Linked DNA regions of Diceros bicornis minor. The protein of the gene in region 1 purifies or fractionates together with the protein of each later gene. This does not show direct contact. Links are inferred from orthologs where the notes say so. Each region holds a gene or a part of one and is shown on either strand. Other genes may lie near its edges.

Region 1 (7,696 bases):
CTGGTGTCTCAGCTGGGGAGTGGGAAGTTCCCCCCACCTCCTTAAGAGCTAAGGAATTTCCAGCTGTGTCCATCCTAGAGCGCCCACTCTCCCCATCACCAGCTCAGAGTGGTTGAGGGAGAATGACTGAGATCACATCATAGTCCCTGGGCGCAAATCCTGGTTCTGTTGCTTAGGGGTAGTGTGATCCTGGAGATAAATTCCCCCTATATCCGTGCCTCAGTGTTCTCTCCCATAAAATGGGAATGATTGAATGAAACAATAAATATTAAGCATTTAGCAGAGTATCTAAGCACTCAAAATATGATGGTAGTAACAAAATAGCTTAAGGTTATATTGCACTGTAAGCTTGTATTAGGGAACACAATACTTATATTGTAAACTTGTGTTAAAGTGCCAGCTTCCAGGTGCTGTTCTAAGCTCATGACATATGTCAATTCATTGAATCCTCACAAAGACCTATGAATTCATCACTACGCATATCCCTATTTTATAAATGGAACTAAGGCGCACAATGCTAAATAAATTGTCTGAGGTCGTAAGACAGTACGTGGCAGAACTGAAATTTGCAATTGTGGAGTTTGACTACAGGCTCTCCACTCTTAAACACGAACCTCCACTACTATGTAATTTGATAGCATTATCATCGTCAGTCATGGCAATCCACGCCTGCCACACAGTACTCACAACAACAAACATTGCCTGATAATTAAGTCTCATTCATTCATTCAAAAATTTTTTTTCCTTAGCAACTAAATGTCAGTCTCTGCTCTAAGAAACAAGAATCCCATCAGGAAGAAAGAATGGACAATAACAAAGATAAATAGGTAAATGTGTGGCATACCAGATAGTGATGAGTGCCATTTTAAATCTGGGTGCAATTTTAAATAGGGTGGTGAGGGATATGCTTAGAGAGAAGCTATCATTTGAATTGACAAACTTTTAACCAGACTCACTAAGAAAAAAAAACACTCAAATAAATAAAATCAGAAATGAAAGAGGCGATATTACAAAAGATACCACAGAAAAACAAAGGATTATAAGAGAACACTATGAAAAGCTATATGCCGACAAACTGGATAAACTACAAGAAACAAATAAATTCTTAGAAACATACAACCTCCCAAAACTGAATCAAGAAGAAATAGAAAATCTGAACAGACCAATCAGAAGTAATGAGATTGAAATAATAGCAATCAAAAACCTCCCAAAAAACAAAAGTCCAGGACCAGACGGCTTCTCTGTTGAATTCTACCAAACATTCAAAGAAGATTTAATACCTATCCTTCTCAAACTCTTCTGAAATATTGAAGAGGACGGGTTGCTTCCTAACTCATTCTATGAGGCCAACGCCACCCTGATACCAAAACCAGACAAGGACAACACAAAAAAGGAAAATTACAGGCCAATATTGCTGATGAACATAGATGCAAAAATCCTCAACAAAGTATTAGCAAATAATAATTGATCAGATAATAAGAGGAGACACTCTCCTTGGAGGCAAAATGTAAGCAGGTGCAAAAAAAACTGTCAGTAATGAAGATAAATAATATTTTAAGGTAATTTTTAAATCACAACTAATGCGAACACAACAATAACCAAAATATCAAGATTTTAAACCAAGACAGAATCCAACTGTGCCCAGCAAAGCTGTTTGAAGCTTAAGGCAAAAAGGAATCTATGCACCCCTCCATACACATTTTTATGTATTTTTATGGTTAATTTTTTCCATACTATTAACATAATTGAAAAAATATTGAAAATTTTTAAAGAAAGTTATTAAAGTACGCAACATTATTTTGAGTTTAAATATTTTATTTATACCAAAAAAAAAAAAAACCCACAGAATTTGTTATCATTTTACTCTCCTGGCTTTCACAGAAGAAAACTCATCAATGATATTTTCAAAATCTGCTGCGGAAAATAACCATTTAAAAATGCATTAGAGGGGCCGGCCCAGTGGCTTGGTGGTGAAGTGCGCACGCTCCGCTACTGGCGGCCCCGGTTCGGATCCCGGGCGCGCACCGACGCACCGCTTCCTGGCCATGCTGAGGCCGCATCCCACATACAGCAACTAGAAGGATGTGCAACTATGACATGCAACTATCTACTGGGGCTTTGGGGAAGAAAAAAAAGGAGGAGGATTGGCAATAGATGTTAGCTCAGAGCCAGTCTTCCTCAACAAAAAGAGGAGGATTAGCATGGATGTTAGCTCAGGGCTGATCTTCCTCACAAAAAAAAAAAAAAAAAAACATTTAAAAAATTCATTAGAAATAAAAGCATAAGCTGAGACTGTCTTATTCCATCAAAAAATAAAAAACAAAAATGCATTAGAATGTGAACAGAGGAATGCACATTTTTCCTTTTGTGCCAGGCTCGGCTGTGGCTTGGCACAGCACTGTTGGAGCCTGTCTTTACGGAAAATCGTCATATTTGTTCATTGTGGATATTCTTGAGTTAATTTTGATTTTTTTAAAAAAATTGCCTCAGCATATTATTTATGTTGATTGACGAGTTTTCTGGGAACCACCCCTAAATTTAGCACTCAAGGCCAGCGCTCTCTTGCCCCACCCTAATCCCTGCCCCAGGGGGACTTCAGATTTACTATCGTGGGCATCCCAGTTCTCACCCTCTTTGAGCCCAGAACTGAGGACCGTGTAGCCCTCAGGCCACACATCCAGCCACATCCCACCTCCGCCCCTCCTGTTACCAGTGGCAATCAGCTCCAGCTGCTCACTGGGGGGTGACCAGCGGGTCCCATTCTGGTAGGAGCAGCGGTAGCGTCCAGCGTCGTCTGTTCTCATGGCCGGAATGAAGTGGATGGCCTGGTCCATGTACTTTCGGGTTCTCAGTTTCTCCAGGCGGTACACGTCCACACCCGGAGGCCCCAGGCAGCGGATTGTCACCGGCTTCTTCAGGGGCACAAGGGGGCTGGGCTGGGCCTGGAGGGAGGGCTTGGGCAGTGGGCCTGGAAAGGAAGCAGAGCCTAGCAGAGGTCATCTTCCCAACAGACCCCTCCTTCTGGACCCTCTCACCCGCTCCTGCCCTCGCAGGGGCTGAACCCGGAAGAGGGATTAAGACTCACCGTTCTGAGCTTGTGTCACCTGCCCCAGACACAACCCTGAGCATAGAAGAAAAGGACCAAACGTTAAAACCTCACGAACCCACACTCCCTGCATGCTGGGCACGGTGGTAAGATATTTGCATGGGTTAGCTTTCTTTTGTCATAATTATTTTTTTTTCCCAAAGACGCACATGCACATAATTTAAGTAAAAGAAGCCAGCCATAAAAGGCCACATATTGCATGATTTCATTTATATGAAATGTCCAGAATAGGTAAATCTGTCCAGAGACAGAAAATAGATTAGTGGTTGCCCGGGGCTGGGGGAGGGGAGATTGAGGAGTGACTGCTGATGGGTGTGGAGTTTCCTTTTGGAGAGGTGAGAATGTCTTGGAACTAGATAGAGGTGCTGATTGCACAACATTGTGCATGTACTAAAAGTCATTAATGGTAAAGGTTATGTTAAATATATTATTCTGCTACAATTTAAAAAAAAAGAAAAAAATAGGGATTCCTTGCTCCACCCCTCAGCTCCCTCCAGTACCACTCCCCACGCACACACTTTTGACAACTGGAAAGAGAATTACCTCTTCTTTGAGAAGCAGGCTGTGTGCCTGATGGAGTTCCTTTTTTTTTCCCCCAGATTTATTGAGATATAATTGACATGTAACATTGTGTAAGTTTAAGGTATACAATGCATTGATTTGGTACACTTATGTATTGCAAAATGATTACCACCTAGTATTAGCTAACACCTCCATCCCCACATGTAATTACTGTTTCTTTTTTGTGGTGAGAACACTTAAAATCTACCCTCTTGGCAATTTTCAAGTATATAATACATTATTACTAGCTATAATCACCATGCTGTACATTAGATCCCGGTGGGGGTCTCTCGCATTATATCATAAGTCAAGAGAGCTCAGGGTGTGTTAATCATAGATTTCCCACTATTTTAACTTTTTGATTAAATCAATATTTTGTAATTACCTTACTATGACTCTACAAATATTATTCACACCTGAGGATTATAATATTTTACCCACGTATTTTTCCTATTGTTTTTCCCTCAAAATCAACAAATGTCCAATTTAGTTCCATCTGCATAGTTTTTCCACAATTTTCAATAGCCTCTCCTTGTAATTTCACACAACATCTATTAAACTGCATAATCTGTAAATTCCACTTTTCCCTTGAAGTTACCCTCCCCCCCGTTCTCCTTCTATCTGAACTAATTCTTCCCTAGGTTGAACAATTGTCCTTTTTCTCTCAAACTAAGACTCTTCTTTCCCTTTTCTGCTGAGTTGGTAGCTTTATCTGTCTCACTAGGGTTGCCAGATTTAGCAAATAAAAACATAGGACTCCCAGTTAAATTTGAATATCAGATAAACAACGAGTAATATTTTTTTGCATAGTATGTTCTGTGAGATATATTTGGTGTGCTTAGGCTTAAAAAAGTATTTGTTGTTTATCTGAAATTAGATTTAACTGGGCAGCCCGTGTTCCATCTGATAACCCTTATCCTTACACACACACTGGAAGGAAGGACTGTTATTGTTTCCATTATAAACGTAAGGAAACTGGGCCAAGAGGCTAAGCAATTTCTTGTAGCACACACAGCTAGGAAGTGGTGAACCCAGATCATCCCTGACTCCAGAACTCAGGGTGACACACTTGTGACCAGCTCCATCTGAGCCCCATCCTGTCCACACCAGGTTCTTCCGCATCCTGTACCCAAGCTTCACCCATGTCTTTGTCCACTGCCCAACACAACCCCACCTCAGTCCCTCCGTGGGTTTCCACGCAGCCCATCAACATGACTGGAAATATTCCATGTGCCATTCTGAGAGTTTTGTGAATGGTTTCGGGGTCACCACAATCCCACTGGTTAGGTACTATTATTAACCCTATTTTATACATCAGGCTATTGTGACAGTATCTTGTTCACAGTCCTGCAGCTGGTAGGAGGTAGATTCAAACACTGGCTGCATATTTTAGTGTGAAGAACGTGGACTTGGGCCAAAATTCCTTAGTTTTTATTCGAGCCCTAACTGTGTGACCTTAAACAAGTTACTTGATCGCTCTGGGCCTCAGTTTTTTCATCTGTAAAATGGGGATGATAATAGGCCTTACCTCATCAGGCTGTTATGGGATTAAATAAGTGTCTATTGAAAAAAAAACATAGAATAATATCTAGCCCATAGTAAGTGCTACATAAGTGTGTGTTAAAGAATGAATGAATAAGAGGCTGTTTGTGTTCATAGTATGCCCTCTTATCCCCCGTGACACAACTATTTCCTTCCTGCTTGGTCTCTTGGAGCCTCTATCCCTTTAGTGATAAAGTTCTTTTGAAGAAATAAGGAAATCATGCATATGACACACCTCACACAAAGCCTGATGACGAGCAGGCGATAAAAATGCATCTGATCCCACCACCAACCCCTCATGGGAGACTCTTTCTTTTTCCAGCTACTTGGAGCTATAACTGACAAATAAAAATTGTATGTGTTTAAGAGGCACAACATGAAGATTTTATATACTTACACATAGTGAAATGATCATCAGAATCAAGCTAATTAACACTCCCACCACCTCACATAATTATCTTATTTTTGTGAGAACACTTAAGATTTACTCTCATAGCAAATTTCAGGCATAAAACACAGTAATGTTAACTATAGTCACCATGCTGTGCATGAGATCCCCACAACTTATTCATCTTATAACTGGAAGTTTGTACGCTATGACCAACATCTCCCTATTTCCCCCATCCCCCTACCCTTGGTAACCACCATTCTACTCTCTGCTTCTGTGAGTTCGATTTTTTTAGATTCCACATACAAGTGAGATCATACAGTATTTGCCTTTCTCTGTCTGACTTATTTCACTTAGCATAATGCCCTCCAGGTTCATCCATGTTGTCAAAAATGGCAGGATTATTTGCTCCAGTATCATGAGGGATTCTGACAAATTAAGTCTATAATCTAGTCCTCTAATCTATAACTACCAAGTTCACATTTAAAAAAAAAAAATGTGGTTTGTGGGAGAAATTTGCAGCCGTACTAGGAGACCTGTGTTCATTTCCTGACCCAGCTGTGAATAGACTAGAGTAACTCAGACAAACACTTCACCTCTCTGGCTCCCAATTTTCCCAGCCAACAGATGAAGGGGCCCTCGGAGGTCCCCTCTTGTCTTGAAATTCATCGCTGATGCAATGTTTTAAAAAAAATTCTTTGTCAGCTTCTGCAAGGCAAACGAAACCAGGATCAAAATGAAAAGACAACCCACCAGCTGGGAGTAAATATTTGCAAATCATATATCCAACAAGGGGTTAATCTCCATAATATATAAAGAACTCACACAACTGAACAACAAAAAAACAAATAACCCGATCAAAAAATGGGCAGAGGATATGAACAGATATTTTTCCAAGGAAGGTATACAGATGGCCAATAGGCACATGAAAGGATGTTCAACATCACTAATCATTAGGGAAATGCAAATCAAAACAACGCTAAGATATCACCTTACACCCATTAGAATGGCTATAATTGCTAACACAAAAAATAACAAATGTTGGAGAGGATGTGGGGAAAACGGAACTCTCATTCACTGCTGGTGGGAGTGCAAACTGGTGCAGCCTTTATGGAAAACAATATGGAGATTTCTCAAAAAATTAAGGATAGAACTACCATACGATCCAGCTATTCCACTGCTGGGTATTTATCCAAAGAACTTGAAATCAACAATCCAAAGAGGCTTATGCACCCCTATGTTCATTGCAGCATTATTTACTATAGCCAAGATGTGGAAGCAACCCAAGTGTCCATCAACAGATGATTGGATAAAGAAGATGTGCTATATATATACAATGGAGTACTACTTAGCCATTAAAAAAAGACAAAATTGTACCATTTGCAGCAACATGGATGGACCTGGAGGGTATTATGTTAAGTGAAATAAGCCAGACAGAGAAAGACAAACACTGTATGACCTCTCTCATATGTGGAATATAAACTAACACACGGACAGAGAGAACAGTTTGGTGGTTACCAGGGGAGTTGGGGGGGGGCACAAGGGGTGAAGGGGTGCATTTATACGGTGACTGACAAACAATAGTGTACAACTGGAATCTCACAATGTTATAAACTAGTATGACATCAAAAAAATAAAAATAAAAAATTCTTTGTCTCATAGCCCACTGCCTGTCCCTCAGCATTTCCCAGATGGACCCTAAGGACTCACCAAGACAGAAGAGGGCAGACAGGGTTGGGGACATGGTTCCTCAGCCTGTCCTGAGCTCTGTAGCCCAGGAGGGAAGCCGTGGGGGGCTGGAGCAGGGACACAGGATGTGATAAAGGCAAAGAACACTCTCTTCTCTTCCCCCATCAGCCCTGGCTTTTCCTAATTGAGACTCATCAAGCTGGAGCCGTCCCCTCAGTGGAATGACTTGCAAACAAGCTCCAAGGAGCCTCACTTATCTCCTGTTACCAGCCCAGTGTTGCACCACATCTGCCTATTGAGGCATTGTCTGTGTTCCCATGTTCCCATAAGCTCCCTGACATTCATTAGGGACATGCAAATCAAAACCACAGTGAGGTATCACTTCACATCACTAGGATGGCTGACAGATA
Region 2 (8,183 bases), on another chromosome or scaffold:
CAGCCACTTAACCAGGCCTGTGACCCTGGACATGACATCAACCCTCTTTTTCTGTAACTGATGCTGCCTACCCTGGGAGACCATGGGAGGTTCGAATGAAACCAGAGTTCAGGAAGGCTTCAGAGCCCTGCATAAGTGAAGGGTGTTAGCACCATCATCACCAGGAAGAGCTCTGGAGAGGTCTGAGGCCTTCTCTACCATCAATGTGTCACTCATCAATGTTCCAACTAATGACTGTGGTGACCTTCCATGTAAATACTATCCATGTCTCAGGCCATGGAGGTCACTGAGATCAGCAGTGTGAGTGAGCTGTAACAATGTTCCATGCTGTGGACATGTACACACTGTATTCTCATTTATACAGATTTAAAATCAGTATGGGTTTGTTTATGGATAATATAGTTTAATTCTGTTAAATTATAACCCCATATATTCATTTCAACCAACTGGCATCTCAGATGTTTTGGTGATTTATTTTTGAACACAAATACGGTAGAACTAAAAAGCTTTGAAAGTCATTGATTCACAAAACTGCCGGACCACTTGTCTGCTGAAAGAATGCCATTGGATGAGGGGTGGAGATCACAAATTCTCCACATACCTGTGCAACACCAATGACTTTAAGATAAAGTGGGTCTTTGTGATTTGGCAAACTACTTTTGCCAAATCTTACCACTCCAAATCAAGACCTGTCTCCCAGTGATACAGCACAGTAACCAGGGCTGAACGGAGATGCCCACTTAGAACACTACAGCTGGGATAACCTGAGAGGCCAAAAAGTCCCTCACATCCCCATTTTAGACACCAGGACAGAGAGGGCCAGTAGGCTGCAAATGCCTTAGGGACCAGCCCTGTTCCTCGGCCTTGCACAGCACCAGGCTCAGAGCAGACTTGCATTCCTTCTTCTAAGTAATCTCCACTATGGGACAGGCACCAGGGCTAGCATTTTGGACCAGACAGACAAAGCTGTTCTCAAGGAGCCTTCACTGTAGTGGTGAATATAGACTATACACATGCAGACAAACCAAAATATAACTCTAGTTACTGCTATGAAGGAAATGTTGGCTGAATAAATGGCCTAAGTAACTCATCCTAAATCACAGCTCTGGTAAATGGCAGAAGAGCCCCACAACAGGCTTCTGGTTCCTCCTTTCTCTTTCCCGACATCAGCTGCCCTCTCCTCTTCACTCAGGAAGCAGGTTAGCCCACTCTGCATCCAAACAGGCCCAGTCATCAAAAGCCTCTTGTAATCAAAGTAAATTTCTTCAGGCCTCAAGACGTTTACCTCCTTATTCCCAAATAAGAAGCAGAGACAACAGAATCCCACCCTTTTCCAGCGCACTGCCCTTCTCAGGAAGGACTTGCAGTACTTAGTTAAATTACAACTCCCTATATTCTCCTGTCCTCTCTCAGTGCCTGCTCCAGTCCACACTGCTTTAGGTGTTGCCTGCACAGAGAGAACACCTCTGCCCTCCTGAACCCTGCAGCCGGCTGGGGGTGGCCAGCAAATCAAAAGTCAGTCAGAGGTGCTTACTGGCTAGTTCTCAGGGTGAGTGAGACTCCTGGGCCCTGCTTTGGGACAGCAAATCCCTGGTGTATTTATTAAGCAGATTTACTAGTAAGGCCAGGTGGCTAAATCGGACATGTAGTCTTAGGTTTATAATCAACACATTACAAAGAACCAGGGAGCCTCGTTTTTATGGACAGAGTTATTTGCGATCAATAATAATAACAGCACTGTTTATGAAATGCCTAGTATGTGCTTGGGGCCTTACGTGCAATAAATAGCTCAGGAGGTAGATATATTCTCCAAGAGATGAGGAAACCCAAAGAGCGAATTTCAATAACAGGACCAAGTTCACACACGGTTAGGAAATTGCAAGGCCTGGATTCAATTCGAGTTTCTGAGATGGCAAAGAAGTTGGGTGGATTGGGCTTAATTAAGACAGACCCATACTCACACGGGCATACAAACAAAGGAAGACACAACCACACAGCCACGCCGGCTATTAGAAGGAACATTACAAACGCACAGCATCCAGCAGACGCCGCGGTCGCCAGGATAACGCAGAACAGTGCAAACTGTCGCTGACACCCTTCCCCCAAGGCGAAGGAAAGGCAACCCCTGAATTCTTAAAATAACTCTCGCTTCCTCTCCGCCGGCGGCAGAGGCACCGGACTGCTCCTCTGCAGGCCGAGAGGCGCCGGGCTCAGCGGGAGGGTGAGCACCACGCTCCGCCGCAGCCCCTCGACGTCACGCCGCTGCCCGGCGCGACCGAGGAGGGCAGCTGCCCGCGGGCCTGCAGGAGGGCCCGCGCCGGGCCCCATCCCTCACTTCTGGGGACCCAGAGCCCAGCGGGGAGACCAGGCTGCGCGACCCGAGGAGTCCCCGCCAGGATCCCCGCCGCGCGCCCGCTCCGCGCGGAGAGGGGCTTCCCCGCGGCGCGCCGGGAGTGGCCCGAGCGGGGACAGCATCCGGCCGGCGGCTCCGCGCCAGAGGGACCCGCGGCGCGCCCGCCTCCGCGCCCGCACTCCCACCACGCCCCTGTGCGCTCCGCGGGAAAGACACCTGCGGAGCCGCCCGCCCCCGCCTTCTCGCTCCGGGGCCGGGTCACCCACGGGCTGAGGGCATCGGGGTGCCCTCGCCGCCGGGACCGGCGCCCGTGCGGCCAGGAAGCGGCGCGCGCCCCCCGCCCCCGCGGCCCGTGCCGACCCCCGCTCCCCGTGCCGACCCCGGCTCCCCGGCCCAGGGCCGGCCCCGCGCCCCGGACTCCGGCCAGTGGCACAGCCGCGGCTTCCGCCCGGTCTGCCCGGCGCCCGCGCCCACCCCCGGCCTCGCGCGCGGGACTCACCAGCTCGCGGTGAAAGTTGCGGGGCGGCGGCGCTCCACGGTGACTCGAGTTCAGAGCCGGGGGCGCGACGGGGCGGCCCAGCGGGCCCCGCGTGGGGAGGGGCTGCGGGCCGGGAACGGAGGACGCCCGGCGAGGGGCTGCGGGCGCGGGGCCCGGGGTGGCGCGGCCGCCCCGCCTGCCGCGGGCTGGAGGCTGCAGCGCGTCGGGCCCCGAGGCGCCACGGCCGGGAGCGAGCGGCGGGCGGCCCGGAGCGGCGGGAGAGGAACTGACTGTCGCTGGGCTCGGCCGAGAGGTCCCAGCTACTTCCTGGTGCTCGGATTTGCATACTGCACCCGGAGGGCGGGGAAGTGACCGTTTGGCCTCTGCCCAAGGTTTGGGTCTTTCATGTGGCCGTCGCGCAGAGCCTTGAAGGCAGAGAAACCTGGTGTCCCAGTGTGCAGCTTGGCAGAGTGGAGCCTCCTCGGGCCCAGCATTCTCAGGTAGAGACGGACAGAAGCATCTTCCAGGGAAATACTCTGAAGCCTTGACGGTCGTAGCACATCGACGAAACCTCTCGCGTCTCCTTGCCTTGCCTTCCAGCCTACTCCCCAAGGTGTTAGGAAGTGTTGTGCCCCTGGCAGCGGAGGGGGCGCGCTCTGATCCCCCCAACATTTGGAGTTTTCTAGAGAGAGAATGAGATGTGCCGAGTTTATGCTCAGGGTCTCATTGTGTTCTTAATCAGTACAGAGTAAGCTCCTGAAGGGTGTACGAGGATGTTCAGGGTATTGATGGCGGTGGTGGCTGTGGAATTAAATAGCCTGGCAATTTACTCAGTTCCTCAAAACTTCTGTTTCCTCCCGGGAAACTGGAGATAAGGATGGCTAGCTCGCGGGGTTACTGGGAGGATGACATGTCTTCTGTAAAGGGCTCACACTGTGCCCGGTACACAGTCATGGGCCCTGTTATTCTGTCATTCCTACAATCTCTGCATCCCCACATGTTGCCCAGAGCTTGACACATAGCAGGTGCCTAATCAGTGTCTGTTGAAAGAGTAAGCTGCATCTTCAAGCTCATATTCCTACTCAGTAAATGCCACTTACAAATCCAGGATGTAATGTTAGTCTCAGCCACTGTGGATGCCCACTTGTTCTAAGCAGGATTCTACTCACTGGGATGCCAACGCTGCCCTACACTGTAGAATTTACGAGGAAATAAACAGCATCCTGTAGGAGGTTTGGTCTTTGTGTTAATAATAGCCAATACTTACTTAGGGCCTATTGGGCCCCAGACATTGCCCTAAGCGCTTCAGACCTGTTACCTTTTATTGACAATGTTCTTAAGAGGCTGGCCCCACCTAAGGAGGCTGCAGCCACAGCCCAGTGGGCAAGTCCAACTCCTTGTAACACAACCCCAAACAACAATCGTTGTTACTGGTAACAGAGGATGAAGGTTTGCAAACTACTGCCTTAAACGAAGTAGGTTGGTTTATACCTGTGATGTTTGCTGGTATGTAGTTGGTTAGTTTCCTGCTGAAGAGGAGGGAGTGGGGTTACCTGTTGGAAGGTGTTGCAAGTGTGAGTGAAATCTGCCACAGATCCTATGGAGTAATTCACTACCTCAGGGCCCGTTTCCTGGACTTCTCTTCAGGGTGACCTCTCAAATGTATTGGCCCTAACTTAAAACATCTGCTATTACCAATGAGTCCTTGAGATCCTGGCTAAAAGCATGTCACAAATAAGAATAGGATACAGAATGTTTGGTGTTGGCTAATCCATCTGGAATGTCCTGTCAGTGTTTTTGGTAAAATGTCTCTTGGCATAAGGAACAAAGCGTAAGCGGGCAGAGCTGGTCTTGCACCCGGCCCAACCACTTCTCCCTCCTCATGCACAAGTGTCTCAGCTAAGTTCATCTCTTTATTCTTATTTCGGGGGGAAAAAAAACTATTGTCATTCCCACATCTCAAGCTGTCTTAATATATCCTGAATATTTCCTCCACCCACTCTCCATGTCTATCTTTCCTCCTTCAAGTCCCATCAAAGTTCCATGTCCCCGAAAAGTTTTATTTAAAGCCCTCATTGGTAACCTTCTTTTCTAGATATCTAGAGCACTTACAATGTGCAACAGTCATTTTAAACTAGATTTAGGTACTTTTTAGCATTGTTTGCCTTTGTTTCATGTAAGTAAATAGTAAAGCCCTCTTTGGAAGGCATTGCTTCTTATATTTATCTCTTTCCCACTGTACCTCTCCAAAGTTCTGTTAGGTGCTTTAAAATACTTCATTAGTATCGATTGATTGGTTCATTGACTGAGGAACTGAGTTGTCTCAACAGTATTCTCTGTTGAAAATTGAACACAGAATGAAATGATCAGAGGCAGGTTGCAAATTAACAAAGACCCCCTTGCCAGGATAAGCCGACTTTGAAGAAGGTGAGGGATGTGACTGAGAATGACGCAGGAGGAAGTAGTGGAAATGGCATCAACCATGTATAGTCGATCTTCATTTTTTCAGACTCTGTATTTGCAAATTCAGCTATTCACTAAAATTTATTCGTGACCCCACAATCAATACTCACAGCACTTTCACAGTCATTTGTGACATGCGCCCAGGGGTGACTATTTGAGTCTCCCCACACACACACTCCCACACTTCCAGCTGAGGTCAAACTGGGTGATGCTTTGCCTTCTTATTTTAGCTCTTGTACTATAAACATGTGTCCTTTTGGAGATCTGTTTAGTGCCATGATTTTTGCATTTTTGTGCTTTTTGTTGTTGATTTCACTGTTTATTTATTTATTGTGAGGAAGATCAGCCCTAAGCTAACATCCGTACCAATCCTCCTCTTTTTGCTGAGGAAGATTGGCCCTGAGCTAACATCCGTGCCCATCCTCCTCCACTTTATGTGGGAGGCTGCCACAGGATGGCCTGACAAGTGATGCATCGGTGCGAGCCCGGGATCCGGACGTGGGCCACCAGCAGCGGAGCGCACGCACTTAACCACTATGCCATGGGGCCGGCCCCTGATTTCGCTGTTTAAAGTGTCCCTTGAGTGTAGTGCTGAAGTGCTGTCTAGTGTCCTAAGCACAAGAAGGCTGTGATGTGCCTTATGGAGGAAATATGTGTGTTATATCAACTTTGTTCAGGCATGACTTATGGTGCTCTTGGTCGTGGGGTCAATAATGTTAATGAATCAACAATATACATTAAGCAAGGTGTCTTGAAACAGATTTACACTTAAAACAAGGTTATCTATCAAGTTGATGAAAGTGTGGCCAGAAGCTCGCAGCAACCTAACCCCGTATTCCTCCTAGGAACAATTGTTCAGTATTAGCTAATTCATTGTTTGTGGCAACTTTATAGATCATAACTACCACAAAAATCGACTGCGCATAAAAACATCCCATCTTCCACTTGTAGGAAAATGAAAGGCCTGACCTCAAGGAAATTCTCCCTCAATACAGACCTTCAGATCCTGGCACTTATGGCCGAGATTGGTCATTCTCGGCACACACTCACGTCAGCCCACCCACCTCACCATCTGATCTGCAGCCCATCTCATTGCCACAATGTGGACTGTCCCCGGTGCCCCTTTCACTCTTCTGGAAGCTGCCCTTCAGACTCCCCAGGGCACCTCAGGGACTCTTACAGACTGTCTGCACAAGCCCTCTGGTTGCTGTTGTGGGGAGGGGCAGATTGGAAGCAGAGACTCGCCATCTGACTCTTGCAAACGTGGCCACAAACCTGAGACCCAAGCAGCAAATAATACAGAGCAGTGCTGCTCAATCCTGGCGGCACGTGAGAATCACTCGCCCAGGCCCTACCCTGATAATTAAAGCCCCGGGGGTAGGTTGAGGGTGGACCCAATCGTCAGAGATTTTAAAGCTCTCCAGGTGGTTCCAATGAGCCGCCAAGATTGGGAACCACTGGGAAAGAGCCCCAACCAAACATCCTGGGAGAATGTGGGGCATAGCTGCCAAAGAGATGAGTTTCTACTGACCAGTGATCCTAATAAAATATGCCAGCTGGCCTCTCATCTACACACTTGGGACTGATGAATCAAAAACGTTGTTTAAAATGGGGAAATCATAAAAATGATGTGAATGTGCCTTAAAACATTCACCTGAACTTCAACCTCAAGTACATTCATTCACTGCCAACCTCTCATGTAACGCAGGGCGTTTCCTCTGAGCCTGTATCTCCTACATGGCATTCTGGGCCATCTTTCCCACCTAAACCACACCCCTGGCACCTCATCCCTAATTTCCAATTACAGCTTTGTGGAAACAGAGCTGTCTCGCCCACAATCTCCTATCTTCTACACCTAATTCAGTGCAATTGTTTGCTTTTACCATTTTACCTGCGACTGCTTCCAAATATTGAACTTAGTTTTTGACATGGAAACAACTTTTTCACTCATATTTTTTAAGTTTCTATTTAATTAAGTTGCCTATTTGTGATAGCAGGCACACATTGACTTCAGAACAACTGGCTTTTGGGAAAGTATATGAGTGTTACCCAGAGGAAAGAGTTCACTTTGCTGGAGGGATCAAGCGGCGTGTTCCAGAGGGAAGCGAGAGTGTTGATTCGTCCAGAGTCTATGGAGAAGAGGTTGATTTCTGAGGCTTTCCATCACCACTCCCACCCAGGAACCAGGCAGGTTATTTTGTTAAAGCCTCCAACCAACCCTCACAACATCCAGGCTTTATTTTCTACATTTGATAGATAAGAAAACGGCCTCAGAAGGGGTAGGTGACTCGCCCAAATTCACCTTGCTGAAGTGGCACGTGCTGGACTCGAACGCCGTTCTCTCTGTCTGACTGACATCAAAGCCCGAGCTTGTACCCTTAGTTTACAATGCCTTCTGCAAAGTCAGGGCTTCTGAGCTGGGCAAACCACAGACAGAGCCTGGAAGTTAGCAGGGCTAAATCTAAGAGAGTCCTTCTCAGTTCTTTTACAGGAACAACCAAGCTACCTGAGCAAGAAATTGTTCAAACTGAGCCAAATAATAATGGTAATAACACCAATCACAAAATTAGGATTGAAATCTTATCAAATTTACAACAGTTAATTTGTCACTCAATGATACACAAGATCGTGCTACGTGGTAATTACAGTAGACCAAAATAGTAAACTATGCATAAAAAATTGTCTCATGTAGTCAGATTTAAAGTCCTGGAGTCTCCTGGGGAGTGTCCAGAAGGTACGAGGGAGAATTGCTCATGACTTCATTTCTGTTTTCTCTCTGAGGGAGGAGGCCAGTGCCATATCCCCTCTGTCCCTACCTTCTGATCATCAGCAAGGCTGCCCAGCCCCTCAAATGAAGCTGGCCTCAGGACCCTAGTGTCTGCCCTGCTC

Evidence for each region.
Region 2: the proteins of GP6 (region 1) and LYN purify together in Homo sapiens (affinity purification with western blotting; 5 studies listed by BioGRID and IntAct, with this or other methods). This does not show direct contact. The link is inferred for Diceros bicornis minor from reciprocal best matches to the Homo sapiens genes GP6 and LYN.

What each region holds. Positions count from the first base shown.
Region 1 is NC_080773.1:33,073,072-33,080,767, forward strand, and holds the start of GP6 (platelet glycoprotein VI), read right to left. Parts: upstream 3,180-7,696; coding exon 3,086-3,179; intron 2,969-3,085; coding exon 2,711-2,968; intron 1-2,710.
Region 2 is NC_080772.1:9,706,200-9,714,382, reverse strand, and holds the start of LYN (tyrosine-protein kinase Lyn), read right to left. Parts: upstream 3,042-8,183; 5' UTR 2,853-3,041; intron 1-2,852. UniProt on the Homo sapiens protein: Non-receptor tyrosine-protein kinase that transmits signals from cell surface receptors and plays an important role in the regulation of innate and adaptive immune responses, hematopoiesis, responses to growth factors and cytokines, integrin signaling, but also responses to DNA damage and genotoxic agents.